Linked DNA regions of Rattus norvegicus. The protein of the gene in region 3 purifies or fractionates together with the protein of the main gene of each other region. This does not show direct contact. Links are inferred from orthologs where the notes say so. Each region holds a gene or a part of one and is shown on either strand. Other genes may lie near its edges.

What was found. Proteins that work in one complex are often made in the same cells at the same time.
Region 1: the proteins of Nelfe (region 3) and Nelfcd purify together in Homo sapiens (affinity purification with mass spectrometry; 9 studies listed by BioGRID and IntAct, counting the BioPlex papers as one, with this or other methods). This does not show direct contact. The link is inferred for Rattus norvegicus from reciprocal best matches to the Homo sapiens genes NELFE and NELFCD.
Region 2: the proteins of Nelfe (region 3) and Nelfa purify together in Homo sapiens (affinity purification with mass spectrometry; 9 studies listed by BioGRID and IntAct, counting the BioPlex papers as one, with this or other methods). This does not show direct contact. The link is inferred for Rattus norvegicus from reciprocal best matches to the Homo sapiens genes NELFE and NELFA.

Annotation. Positions count from the first base shown.
Region 1 is NC_086021.1:183,630,622-183,634,851, forward strand, and holds the start of Nelfcd (negative elongation factor C/D), read left to right. Parts: upstream 1-1,346; 5' UTR 1,347-1,380; coding exon 1,381-1,467; intron 1,468-4,230. UniProt on the Homo sapiens protein: Essential component of the NELF complex, a complex that negatively regulates the elongation of transcription by RNA polymerase II.
Region 2 is NC_086032.1:81,031,996-81,036,353, forward strand, and holds the start of Nelfa (negative elongation factor A), read left to right. Parts: upstream 1-1,474; 5' UTR 1,475-1,533; coding exon 1,534-1,743; intron 1,744-4,358. UniProt on the Homo sapiens protein: Essential component of the NELF complex, a complex that negatively regulates the elongation of transcription by RNA polymerase II.
Region 3 is NC_086038.1:3,980,742-3,984,128, reverse strand, and holds the end of Nelfe (negative elongation factor E), read left to right. Parts: intron 1-197; coding exon 198-272; intron 273-382; coding exon 383-420; intron 421-578; coding exon 579-910; intron 911-997; coding exon 998-1,142; intron 1,143-1,247; coding exon 1,248-1,302; intron 1,303-1,500; coding exon 1,501-1,603; intron 1,604-2,700; coding exon 2,701-2,771; 3' UTR 2,772-2,868; downstream 2,869-3,387. Other genes in the region: Cfb (complement factor B precursor), read right to left, coding at 3,048-3,203. UniProt on the Homo sapiens protein: Essential component of the NELF complex, a complex that negatively regulates the elongation of transcription by RNA polymerase II.

The DNA of each region.
Region 1 (4,230 bases), on a different chromosome or scaffold from region 3:
GCCTGAAATGAACCCAAAGCAGGGCCCTCCTGAACTGAAAACACCTTTGTCCATTGAGTGGAGATATGTAAAATAGCCCCCTCCACCATCCGCAAAGAAGTCTTTCGGAGTTGTCTCCAGTGCAGCAGGCTCCAGCCTGAACATATCCCTGTCCCCGGCAGAAACCTTCCTCCTGCTGGGCCACCTGTGAGTGTACAGACTGGAAGTCTAGGTAGCTTCTTACCAGACCATGCCCTGCCTGTTCCCCTCTCCCCTCCTGCCCTGCAGCTCCGGTCTCCTTACGCCCCTCCCCCTCGGGTGTAGCAAACGGCTAGACATTCCAGATATATCAAGCAAACAAAAATCCAGATGAACTTTTATAATAACTAAGACCCGCTAACTCCCCACCAACTCTGTAATGCTTCAATACTCCATTGGACTAAATCCTTGCAAGGGGTTGTCAACTCTGGTGGCTCCGGCGTCAACTAAAATGCAAGGTGCCACCAGCTCCTGTGGTGGACTTTCTTTGCCAGGTTGTTTGAAATGGTAAGACAGCCCCTGAGCACCTTGGGAAAGTTTCTTCTGTTATTACAGAGTATTTGCTTCGGTTGCCTAGCATCATTGCGCTGTGGCAAGGATTCGTGGAGCTCCAGGTGTTATCAATGATCCAGGCACTTAGGAGTTATTCAACAAACACTTGTCGAGTGATGGTAGGGAGGAGTAAAATGGCATCTCAGCGCCTGTTATCAGTGCCTGATGACTGTACTTCGTGGCTCTTTTCTCTAGCCTCTCCTCATTGTCTGCATCCAGAGGCCACCGTACTAACCTCAGTGGTGATTTGGGGTCACCTGCTAGGTAGCCTCTCCAGTTATTTTCAGCTTAGGTGTTCAGTGGGTCCTCTTTCCAGGGCCCAGACATGGCTTTAGTAGGGCCTCCTCCACTGGAAGTACGTTTTATATCTCGCTGTGCACTGCATCGAGTAATTTTTGCCCACGGTGAAAAAAATCAGGACATTTCTGAGAGCCTGAGACTCAATGGATGCCTAGCTCGGCTGGTAGCTGCACCGGAGAGGCAAAGCTAAGCTCACTGAAAGTTTCGAAGTCTTTATAGCAACTTGAAGCCAGCTTGCACTTCCGAGTGAGACCCTGTCTTAAAAAGGAAAATAAAAAGCTGTCCTGGAAGTTTTCTACTTAGATGTAAAGCTCTGAGACGTACAGTCTTGCTCTTGAGAAATCCTACAAGGTGTTCCCCCTCCACCGAGAAGGCCAAAGCATGGGCCACGCCCCCGTGTAACCACGCCCCTTGCCAACTCCGCCTCTCCAGCCTTGCCTGAGGCCCAGAACCGCGCGTGCGCCCTTTCATTTGTTGTGTCCGCGCACGCGCAGTGAAGTCGCGGCAAATATGGCGGGTCCAGCGCCGGGTACGATTATGGGAGAAGACTACTTCGGGAATGCGTCTGAGTGGGGTGAAGAGGCGGACGGCGGCCAGGTGAGAAGGCAGTAGGCGTTCCGCCAGGAAGCCGGGTCTCTGCCCTGTCCTCGCGGCTCCTGCGCCGGCCAGAACCGGGTACAGGGGGGCGTCAACACTTGACTCCCTGACCTCCGACCCCGGACCCTAGCAAGGCGGGCCTTGGAGCCGCACTGAGGGGCTTCTGGCGGGTCCTGCCCCATTAGAGACCTCAGTTTTCCATGCACTCCGATTTACAGTGACACCTGGGGCTGACCTCTCTGCCAGGTAGGAGCCATGGTACCTCCTGGCCGGAGGGGCAGAACAGACTCCAAGGAAGAAGAGGGACACAGTGACACAGTGAACAAACTCTAACTCCAAACTCCAGCAGCATCCCGAGGGAGGGAAAACACTCTCTGGGGCTGGACAATCCAAACTCTCTTTTCACTTTTGGATGATTTCATCCATCCTTAGAATACAGGACTTAAGATCTTGTAGCCCTGACTGTCCAGGGTTTGGGTGAGAGATGGGGAACTGGCACCATTCAGTGTCCCAAAAAACATCAGGGTTAGGAAATCAGAGACCCATCCAGGTGTATGATTGACTTAAGCCTCCCATGCTCTTCTGGACAGTGTGCGGGGACCCCGGACTGTTTGCCTTTTCTACAGGAAGCAAGATGAACTTTGAATGAATATAGGATGCAGTGGGGTATACCAGTGGAGTGGTCTGTGGTGGTGCAGTGAGGGCCGTGGAGGAAAAGTGAGAGGTTTCCGGAACTGAGGGAAGTCCTCTGTGGTTGGCTGGCTGATTGGTTGGTTGGTTGCTGGACCGGGAGCTGTCAGTCATCAGCGCAGCCTCCCTGGAGCCTGTAGATTTGCTGACCAGTACAACTTAAGACCCTGGGGGTTGGGGATTTAGCTCAGTGGTAGAGCGCTTGCCTACCAAGCGCAAGGCCCTGGGTTCGGTCCCCAGCTCCGAAAAAAAAAAAAAAAAGAAAAGAAAAGACTCTGGGCGTCCTACATCACTTGGAAACTCAGTGGCAGATATATGGAGTTGGATTTAGCGAACTTGGATGTCGGGCTAAGTGCTTTTGTGTAATAGCTCATTCTAGGCCCTAGAGCAGCAGTTCTCGGCCGGTGGGCCATGACCCCTCTGGGGGTCAACTGGTAGCAAATCGGATATCCTGCATATTTACTTTACAATTCATAACAGTAGCAAAATGCAGTTGTGAAGTAGAGACGAAAGTAATATTATGGGTGGGGTTCCCCACAACATGAAGAACTGTGTTGAGGGGTTGCAGCATTAGGAAGGTTGAGAACCTCTGCTCTAGAGTTCCCATTGAGTGTTAATTAGTAAGTCAGGCAAAAAGACTCAGTACCTTGCCCAGGGCCATAATGGAGGAAGGAAGGAAGACTCAAAATGACATCTGTCGTGTCTGTCCTGCCACACAAACACCAGGCCCTAAGTTCAGAAACTGGCGGCAGCCCTTGTCTGTAACCCAGCACTGGGAAATCCCTGGAGCTCCCTCGACAGCCAGTGGGACCTCGTCAGTGAGAACTTCAAAAATGGGGGTGTGGAGAGAGATACCCAACCTCGACCTCTAACATCTACACACAGACAGTGTACACACAGGAACACCTCAGGAGACCACATGGGCACGAGACAGTACACTGCAGATTAGCTTGGTGGTTGTTGTCTGTGTTTATGTTTTGTGACTGTGGAGGGTTAGGCGTGGCCTGGACTAGAGTCCACTGAATTTCAGTCTGAATGGCTGTGGTTTGACCTGTTGACCCTAACGCGATCTCCCCAATGAGAGTGATGAGCTATCGGAGTGTGAAACCTGCGACTTAGGTGTCCTGAGTAACCGAGTGTGGTTCAGCAGTTGGGAATGTGGTAGTGTGAAAATACTGGACACCCCTGCACACACACACTTTCTTCATCTCTGTTCTCTGACTGTACTTGAAGGGGGCGAAAGTCCAGAGGGATGGAGGATGGAGCCTTGAGCTGGGTCCACCTTCCCTGGTGTGGGGACAGGAAGAGGTGTAGGGAGCGTACAGTGCCGATAAGTCCGGATGATGGAAGCTGAGAGCAGTTGACTTATAGACACGTAAATGAGTTGGCCGCAGGTTGTACACGGAGCTGAGACTGCACAGGTAAGCAGGGCAGAGTTACTCTAGAGCTTGGGATTCTTTTCCTCGCTGAGGGAAACAGGAAACTAAGCAGCTAGGTCAGATTTGTGACTTAATGAGGGTAGCATAGATGTGAAAGGTGATTTCGTGGGGCGACAGATTGAGGCGTGTGGAGGTGTTGCTGCGGGAAGCATACAAGAAAGAAGAGGAGAGAACCTGGACCCTCATAAGGGAGATGGAATGCGGGGGATGGGGCCTGCCTCCAGCAGGAAGTAGGAGGAAGGTGAGAGGACACATCCAAGGTTTCTGGGTGGCTCATGGATGATTAGAGGAGTCCTTTATTGAAGTATCTGTTTCCAGACAAAGACAGGGTCAGTTGAACTTGCAGAGTTCAGAGTCCTGCTAGAATATGGAGTGGAAAGAAGAGTGTTGCCTGCTTGAATCTGATGTGGTCAAGACAGGTCCAGCCAGGTGAAGCTGTAGACAGGGGAGTAGCTTCCTGGCCTGGTATGTCAGAGAAATATTGTTGGTGGGCAACAGGGTCGAAACCTAGTGATGCAGACACGTGAGCGACTCCCAGGGTGAAGGGCAGCCTCTGTGAGCACCCTTTACAGGTTCAGTCTCAGAGAATAAACCCCCGTCAGTCGTCAGAGTGAAGTTGGTGGACTCTGCTCCT
Region 2 (4,358 bases), on a different chromosome or scaffold from region 3:
GGTGACTGTTAGCCACTGGGGTGGTGGTGGTGGTGGTGGTGGCGGCTTGTTAGTAGTGATGCTCAAAGAAAAAACAAGAAGAAATCAGATTCAGGGATCTCTATCCCCCCCATCCTAATTTATCTAGTGATAGAGAAACAGTGATAAGAGGTGAAACAGATGGGGGTGGTGGTGAAGGATAGGAAAAAGAACCCACAGAGTAGCAAAAACCTACTCCAAGTACTTAAAGCCTCAGCAAAGACCACTACACTACAGCTGTCACCAAATGCTGGATCCCTGAGGTTTCCAACCCCTTGAATCGGGCAACTCCATGATCTCTTCTCTGTTAGTAACTCTTTAGAGCACTTTAGGAAGTGGTCTTGTGAGTCTTACACCTTTCCCTGGTACATTTAGTTACCATCCTAAGTCTTTTTTTTTTTTTTTTTTTGGTTCTTTTTTTTCGGAGCTGGGGACCGAACCCAGGGCCTCGAGCTTCCTAGGCAAGCGCTCTACCACTGAGCTAAATCCCCAACCCCACCATCCTAAGTCTTAAGAGCTGTTTTCCTCTCTTCATGAAGTAACATTTCATTAGGAGAAAGCAATATACATTTATATATTCTCATTCTGTGGCTCAAAAGGGACTGTAACTGGCGGCAATCCTCCTGTCTTAGTTCCCTGATTTCCAGGGATTACAGACATGAACCATGACTCTCAGAATACTTAATGTTTTAGAAGATGGGTTTTACTATTTTGCACAAGATGGCCTCTACCTCCTGCGCCCAACTGATCCTTCTCAATCTCACGAGTATCTGTGTCCAAGAAGTACCCTACTGCCACTTTTGCTGTCATTGCCCTGGGCTTTAATCCTAGTAGTTGGGAGACAGAGGTAGGTGGATCTCTGAATTTGAGGCCAGCTTGCTCTACAGAGTGAGTTCGAAGGACAGACATTGTCTACATTGTCAAGTGTTCTGATAAAGATACACTACAGGGTGAATTTAGGCTTCTCAGCAGACGCAGAGTATCAGCCTTTGAAGGACTGTACTTCGAACTACTTTGCAGTTCTCCTGATGATTAAACCGCAGGCATCTCACACTCGGAACGGACCTGTGCGCGGACCCGAGGCAGCATTGTCTGCTGGACAAGGGGAAGAGCATCAGGCTTGTGGAGAACGTGGTTAGTACCCTCTTCAGACCTTTATCCACTGGGCAGCATACCGGGAAACCGAACAGTCGCACCTCACTCTGGGCGATGCATCTCTAGGGCACACGGATGCGACACAACACAATGTCGGGCTACGTCATTGCCCGGCGCCCTAGTGGGTGCCGCCATCATGCGTTACGGAAACCCACAGTCCTTTTCGCGGAGACTCATCGCTCACTCCCGTTCTTGCGCCTCGGCTCGTAGCCTCCAGAAGGCGGGGCCATTTGCAATTGTATTTGTCTGTCACTCGAGGCCCCGCCCCACGCCAACGGGTGCCGCCATGTTGGGGGTCCTCGCTGGGGACACGTAGGCGTCCGCGTAAGATGCCGGCCGACGCGCGCTGCCGCCGCCAAGATGGCTTCCATGCGGGAGAGCGACACGGGCCTGTGGCTGCACAACAAACTGGGCGCCACGGACGAGCTGTGGGCGCCACCCAGCATCGCGTCCCTGCTCACCGCTGCGGTCATCGATAACATCCGCCTCTGCTTCCACCGCCTCTCATCGGCTGTGAAGCTCAAGCTGCTGCTCGGGACGCTGCATCTTCCGCGCCGCACGGTGGATGAGGTGAGGACGCAGGCCAGCCTCTCTCCGGCCGGAGCACCGCTCCTGCCTCCCGCCAGCACCTGAGCCGTACCTTGCCCTTCTCCCGCCGGCCCCGCTCAGCTCCGTGTCCGCGCCGTTGGTCTTGCCCACCCGGCCCCAACACCTTAGTACCTCCAGCCGCTGGACGCTGTCTGCGTTCGGGGGTCGTGGGGCCATGGCCACAACAACCCTCAACCAGGCCGGCCCCTCCCGGAGTGCTGGACACTGCAGTTCCGAAGCTCCTTTTGGTTCGGGACTGTCAGTGCAACTTTCCATGTGACTGCTGACCTTAATTTTGTTGCTTTTGCCTTACCAAGTATCAGTCTACTTGGCTTCATCTCTATTCTGTGGCTTCTTTTCAGTGCATTCTTGTTCCACATTGTATCTGTCTGTCTAACATATACGATATTTTGCAAATACATACACAGATAATGTGTATAGAGTGCCACTGTGTAGCCCAGGTTGATCTCAAACTTAGGGTTCTCCAGCCTCAATCTCTGGAGGGTTGGGATTGCAGGTCTGGGCCACCACATCTCATAGCAAAAAACACCGAAGTGCCTTAGTTTTAAACACTTCCAGTTATTATTTTTATATCATTATATCATTTTTACATCATTTGTTTTTGTTGCAGCGCTATATCGTGTACACAGAACTGCATCTTTATTCAGTTTAACAAATACTGATAATTAAATGACCCACTCCCGTTACCTCCACACAAGAAAACAAGGCTGGACCCTCCAAAGCACCTCCCTTCTTCTCTCTTTCCCGCAGGAAGTTTTTTGGTTTGTTTTTGTTTGGTTTGTTTTTTGAATTTACCATGTTATATTCATTCTCCAAGTGGTGTGGGTGTGTCTTCTGTTGATAGGCACCTGGAACAGATTCATCCAAGTTATTGCAGACAGAGTTTAATTTACTCTGCATTATGGGATTCCGTTCTTCAAGCCTCTCTTTCCCTGTGGTAGGTGGCTGTTTGGCCTTGTTCAGGAAGTACTCCAATTTTGAGGGGAGAGGGAGGCACCTGTGGTCTCTCAGCACTTACTATCTCTCTCTCGTTCTTCAGTCTGCCATTGACTGGGACTGATGGTTGTGAAACTGAGTTCAGTTTTACAAATGGCTGTGTGATGGTCCAGCACCACCTGACAGTCTTTTTCTGTCCTGTTGCTTCTGCCTCCCTGTCTGTCTGTCTGTCTGTCTGTCTGTCTGTCTCTCTCTCTCTCTCTCTCTCTCTCTCTCTCTCTCTCTCTTTTGTCATTTGTGTGTCTTGCTAATAACCAGCCAATAACCAGCCAAGCTACTTACTGTCACTTTATTGTTAGTGTGTTTTGATGTGTGACGTACTGGGCAAACCCTTTGCTTAATCTTCAGGAATAGTTTCAGCTTTTCTTGGCCCCTGGCACTCCTGTCTGTCAGTCTGTGTCTTAGTGTGTGTCATTTTTGTGTTTACATGTTCATTTATGTGTACACATCTCTGCAAGTATCTGTGAGGCCAGGGTCCGGCTTAGGTGTCTACCTCAGCTGCTCTTTATTTATTTATTTATTTATTTATTTTTTGGTTCTTTTTTTCGGAGCTGGGGACCGAACCCAGGGCCTTGCGCTTCCTAGGCAAGCGCTCTACCACTGAGCTAAATCCCCAACTCCTCAGCTGCTCTTTCGTTGTGAGACATTTTCATTGACTCTGGAGCTAACCAGCATGCCCCATCTCAATCTCTAGCATTGTATGTACCGACTGAGAAGGCTTTTTATATGAATATGGAGATCTGAACTTAGATCTTCAGACTTGACTTGGGAAACACTCTATCAACTGAGCCATGTCCTCAACTCATTGTGTAAATAAAATAGTCTCCATTATTAGTTGCTTTTTAGTAAGTGTTTGTTGCAGTTTTCCTCTTAACTCAGCTAGCTCCCATTTATTTAATCAGTTCTAAGGGCACAACAACTGAGCAGTATTACTCCATTTTAATCTTCTAAACTAATCTGGCTACCCCCTAGCCAAAATCCCTGAGATACTTGCATTTTAGTACTAATCTGGTTCTCTGGGCTCCAGGTCTGATCTCATGAAGCCTCCTGGACTCCCCATAGCAACTTCCCACTTCCTCTCTCTCTTTTCCCTTCCCTCCCTTCTCCTACTCGGTCATTTGCTGATCAGCTTTTATTGACAAATCAGAGAACAAATGGGGAGCAATGTTTATACAACATCGAGGAAGGAGATTCTTAGAATAAGAATTACAACCAATGTGGGGGGGGCATAGAAATTAGCATTTGAATAATACATGGATAATATCGACATAGTGCACAATAACATTATGCCTACACTTAACCTAGAGGTTTGGGGAGTTAGAACTGTTAAGTTCTGTGGTTATCCTATATTCATACATGTCTTTTTTTTTTTTTTTTTGCTAATGGTATATAGAAATACTCTAAGTAAGGATTGAAGAGCACCTGTGCTGAGAGCAGCCTGTAACTGTTTCGGTGTAATCAGGGTCTGTTGGTTCCTTTTTGTTTTACCTTATGCTCACTGTCTACTTGTACTGTTGACCTCCCTACTATAGTGTCCTGGATTTGCCTGTTCTCCTTCCCAGCTGTTGCTTTGAGCATTT
Region 3 (3,387 bases):
AGTTCAGGATAGCCAGGGCTACACAGAAAAGCTTTAACTCAAAAAACAAAAAACAAAAAAAAAACAAAAAACAAAAACAAAAAAACATATCAATCAAAAAGACCAACACATCACCATAAGAAGTCTAACAGAGAAGCCGAGGAGAGGGGGAAGAGTTCTCCTGGTCCACAATAACATGGGTGTCTACCACTTTCCAGGACCCAGAGAAGGGGCCTGTCCCCACCTTCCAGCCGTTCCAGAGGAGCATGTCTGCTGACGAGGACCTACAGGAGGTAATGGTTTCTGTGGGGCTGGGATCGGGGGCAAGAGACCCACATATTGTGCACCCACTCCGGTGCCTGGGAGTTATTTTAATTGTTCTCTGTCCTTTCTTTTCCCCCAGCCATCCAGACGGCCCCAAAGGAAATCTCTGTATGAAAGGTTAGAGAGCATCGTTTGGTATGGGGCCAAAGGCCAGCGTGACTGGAAAGTTCAGGGCTAGAGTGGAAGGGGCCAGCTGCAGAGACATGGTTGACTACGCAAGGTCTGGAGGAAGGTGGAATCCCCTTTGATCCTCACCGTAATCTTCCTCTCCCCAGCTTTGTGTCTTCTAGTGATCGGCTTCGGGAACTGGGACAAGATGGAGAAGAAGCAGAGGCCCCTGGGGCTGGTGAAGGCCCACCTCGAGGTTTTGACTGGAGCTATGAAGAACACAGCGGTGCCCGATCCTCAGCCTCCCCTCCCCGAAGCCGCAGCCGGGACAGAAGTCATGATCGGAGCCGAGATAGGGACCGGGACAAAGAACGAGACAGAGACCGGGATCGAGACAGAGAACGGGACAAAGACAAAGACAGAGACCGGGACCGGGACAGAGACAAAGAGCGGGACAGAGACAGGGACCGGGAGCGAGACCGAGAGGGCCCTTTCCGTAGTGAGTGGTCTTGGCCAGGGTTTAGGTGGGTCACGCTAAGTAGAAGGTGATGTGGACTCGGTAATGACTATGGTTCCTAACCCACAGGGTCAGACTCATTCCCCGAACGGAGGGCCCCTCGAAAGGGGAACACTCTGTATGTGTATGGAGAGGACATGACGCCCACCCTCCTCCGAGGGGCCTTCTCTCCCTTTGGAAATATCATCGACCTCTCCATGGACCCACCCAGAAAGTAAGGATTGAGCATCCTGGGAAGGAGCCGCTTGGTGTGCAGCATGGGGGTCACTGGGTCCGTGGAGCCCCATGGAGCCCCCTGACTCTGCCTTCTCTCACCCAGCTGTGCCTTCGTCACCTACGAGAAGATGGAGTCAGCAGATCAGGCTGTTGCTGAGGTTGGGACTTCTCAGACCGCTCCTCCCACCCTCCTGTCATCCTCCTGCTTCTTCCTAACAATGCCTGCTCCTAGAGGAAACTTTCCTCCTGACCAAGAAAACCTGCATCCTCACATGCCTGTTTGGTCTCCTCCCAGGGTGGCAGCAACTGGCTCCATGTAATACCCATCCTCTGTCCCCTCCCCTCTTGTCCCACAGCTCAATGGGACCCAGGTGGAATCTGTGCAGCTCAAAGTCAACATAGCCCGAAAACAGCCCATGCTGGACGCTGCTACTGGCAAATCTGTCTGGGGCTCCCTTGGTAAGGATGAGGCCCTCCCTCCCCCTCCTGCAGCACAGCTTTTCCTGTTCCCTCTACAGCTTTGAGTGGCCTAAAGTGCCAAAGGTCAGGGTCTTCACATAGGCAGAGGATGGAGAATTGCCAGGGTATCTGTCAGGTGAGGGAAGGAGAACAGCGTTAAAAGGTTCCCTTTTCAGTTCAGGACAGCCAGGGTTGCACAGAGAAATCTTGTTTTGAAAAGCCATTTATTTAAGGGGCTGGGGATTTATCTCAGTGGTAGAGCGCTTGCCTAGCAACCGCAAGGCCCTGGGTTCGGTCCCCAGCTCCGAAAAGAAAAAAAAAACAAAAAACAAAAACAAAAACCAGGGTCCCCCAGTAGTGAGCGTCACAGACAGGAAAGTAGGAGCCAGTGTGTCCTCTGAGCTGGAGCACTGTCTGGACCTGGTACTGTGGGTCTGGACCTCAGGTGGAAGCCAGGCATGGAGGTGTAGATCAGTTCTGTTGCATCTGGACCCATCAGAGATGGGATTTTGGAGAAATAAAAGTGACCCGTGGTGGGTTTAGAGAACCAAAAACGCTAGGAAGCCGGGCTCTGCTGTCTGCCGAGCATACCTCCAGCTTGCTAGGCCCAGTGGAGCCTGCGGCAAGGGAACCGTGAGAAGGGTCCAAGCCAAGAGCAGCCCCAGAAGCTTTGGGCTCTGAGAAGGATGTAAGACCAAAGAGGAGGCTGCCTCTCAGCCCCACAGGGAGTCCTGGGGCAGGAGAGGAGGACGAGGAAAGAAACGCTGAGCACTCTGGTTCACAGAGGTCCCCATGGGTGGGATTTCTCAGTGTGGGGAGCCCATTCTGCCTGAAACAGATTTTTCTGGAGAAGAAGTAAGCACAGTAGACACCAGGAGGAGCCAGCGTTGCCCAGCGGGCAAGGCCACAGGCGTTCTGATCTTTTCATTTGCACAGATCTCAGGGTTTAACTCTCTGGGTTTTCTAAGCCAGGGTGAGACTGTGGCCACCAGAGGGCAGAGTAAGCCCTGGTGGACCAGGGCCAGGGCTCTGGACCCCAGGTCTAATGGAAGCGGCCACTGCTTCAGACCTTAACTGTCACTTTCCTCCCTCCTTAGCTGTCCAGAACAGCCCCAAGGGTTGCCACCGGGACAAGAGGACCCAGATTGTGTACAGTGACGATCTATAGGAAACCTTGTGGATGGCTTCTAGGACATGAAGCTGGATTCCTTGTGCCTCATATGCCCCCAAGCTGGTCTCAGTAAAATCCTGGGGTAGAAGCTTTTCACCTCTGTCAGCCTCTAGTCTTTGAGCACTTGGGATTGGAGTTGAGCCTTCAAAAGCAGCTGTCAGTGTTGTTAACCAGTGCACGCCCCACTCCCTTACCCCAAAAAGATGTGGAACACACTTTGTATTTGTATTGTAGCTGCTTTAATCTGCCCTCACCCTCCCAGCAGGAAGCTCCTTATAAGAAACCCAAGTCCTCGTCTTTGAGCTTCTCCTTTAGCCAGGGCAGCACCTGGAAGAGATTGATGTGGAAGTCCCGGGCATAGGAGGGCACCAACTGTTGCCGCCTCGGGTCTTTGCAGACATCCACTACTCCCCAGCTGATCACACCAACCTGTGTAGATAAGGAGGGCCATGGTCACTTGACACTTCATAACCCCAGAAAGCTTCTGAGCTGGCCTAAAGAAGTGCACTGGGAGCCAGCTCCTCTCTCTTCTATGGTGCACATAACCTGGCTTTCACTGGCCAGTTAAGAACAGATGAGGTGGGCCCGTTCTGCCACCTTTATCAGCCGTGCA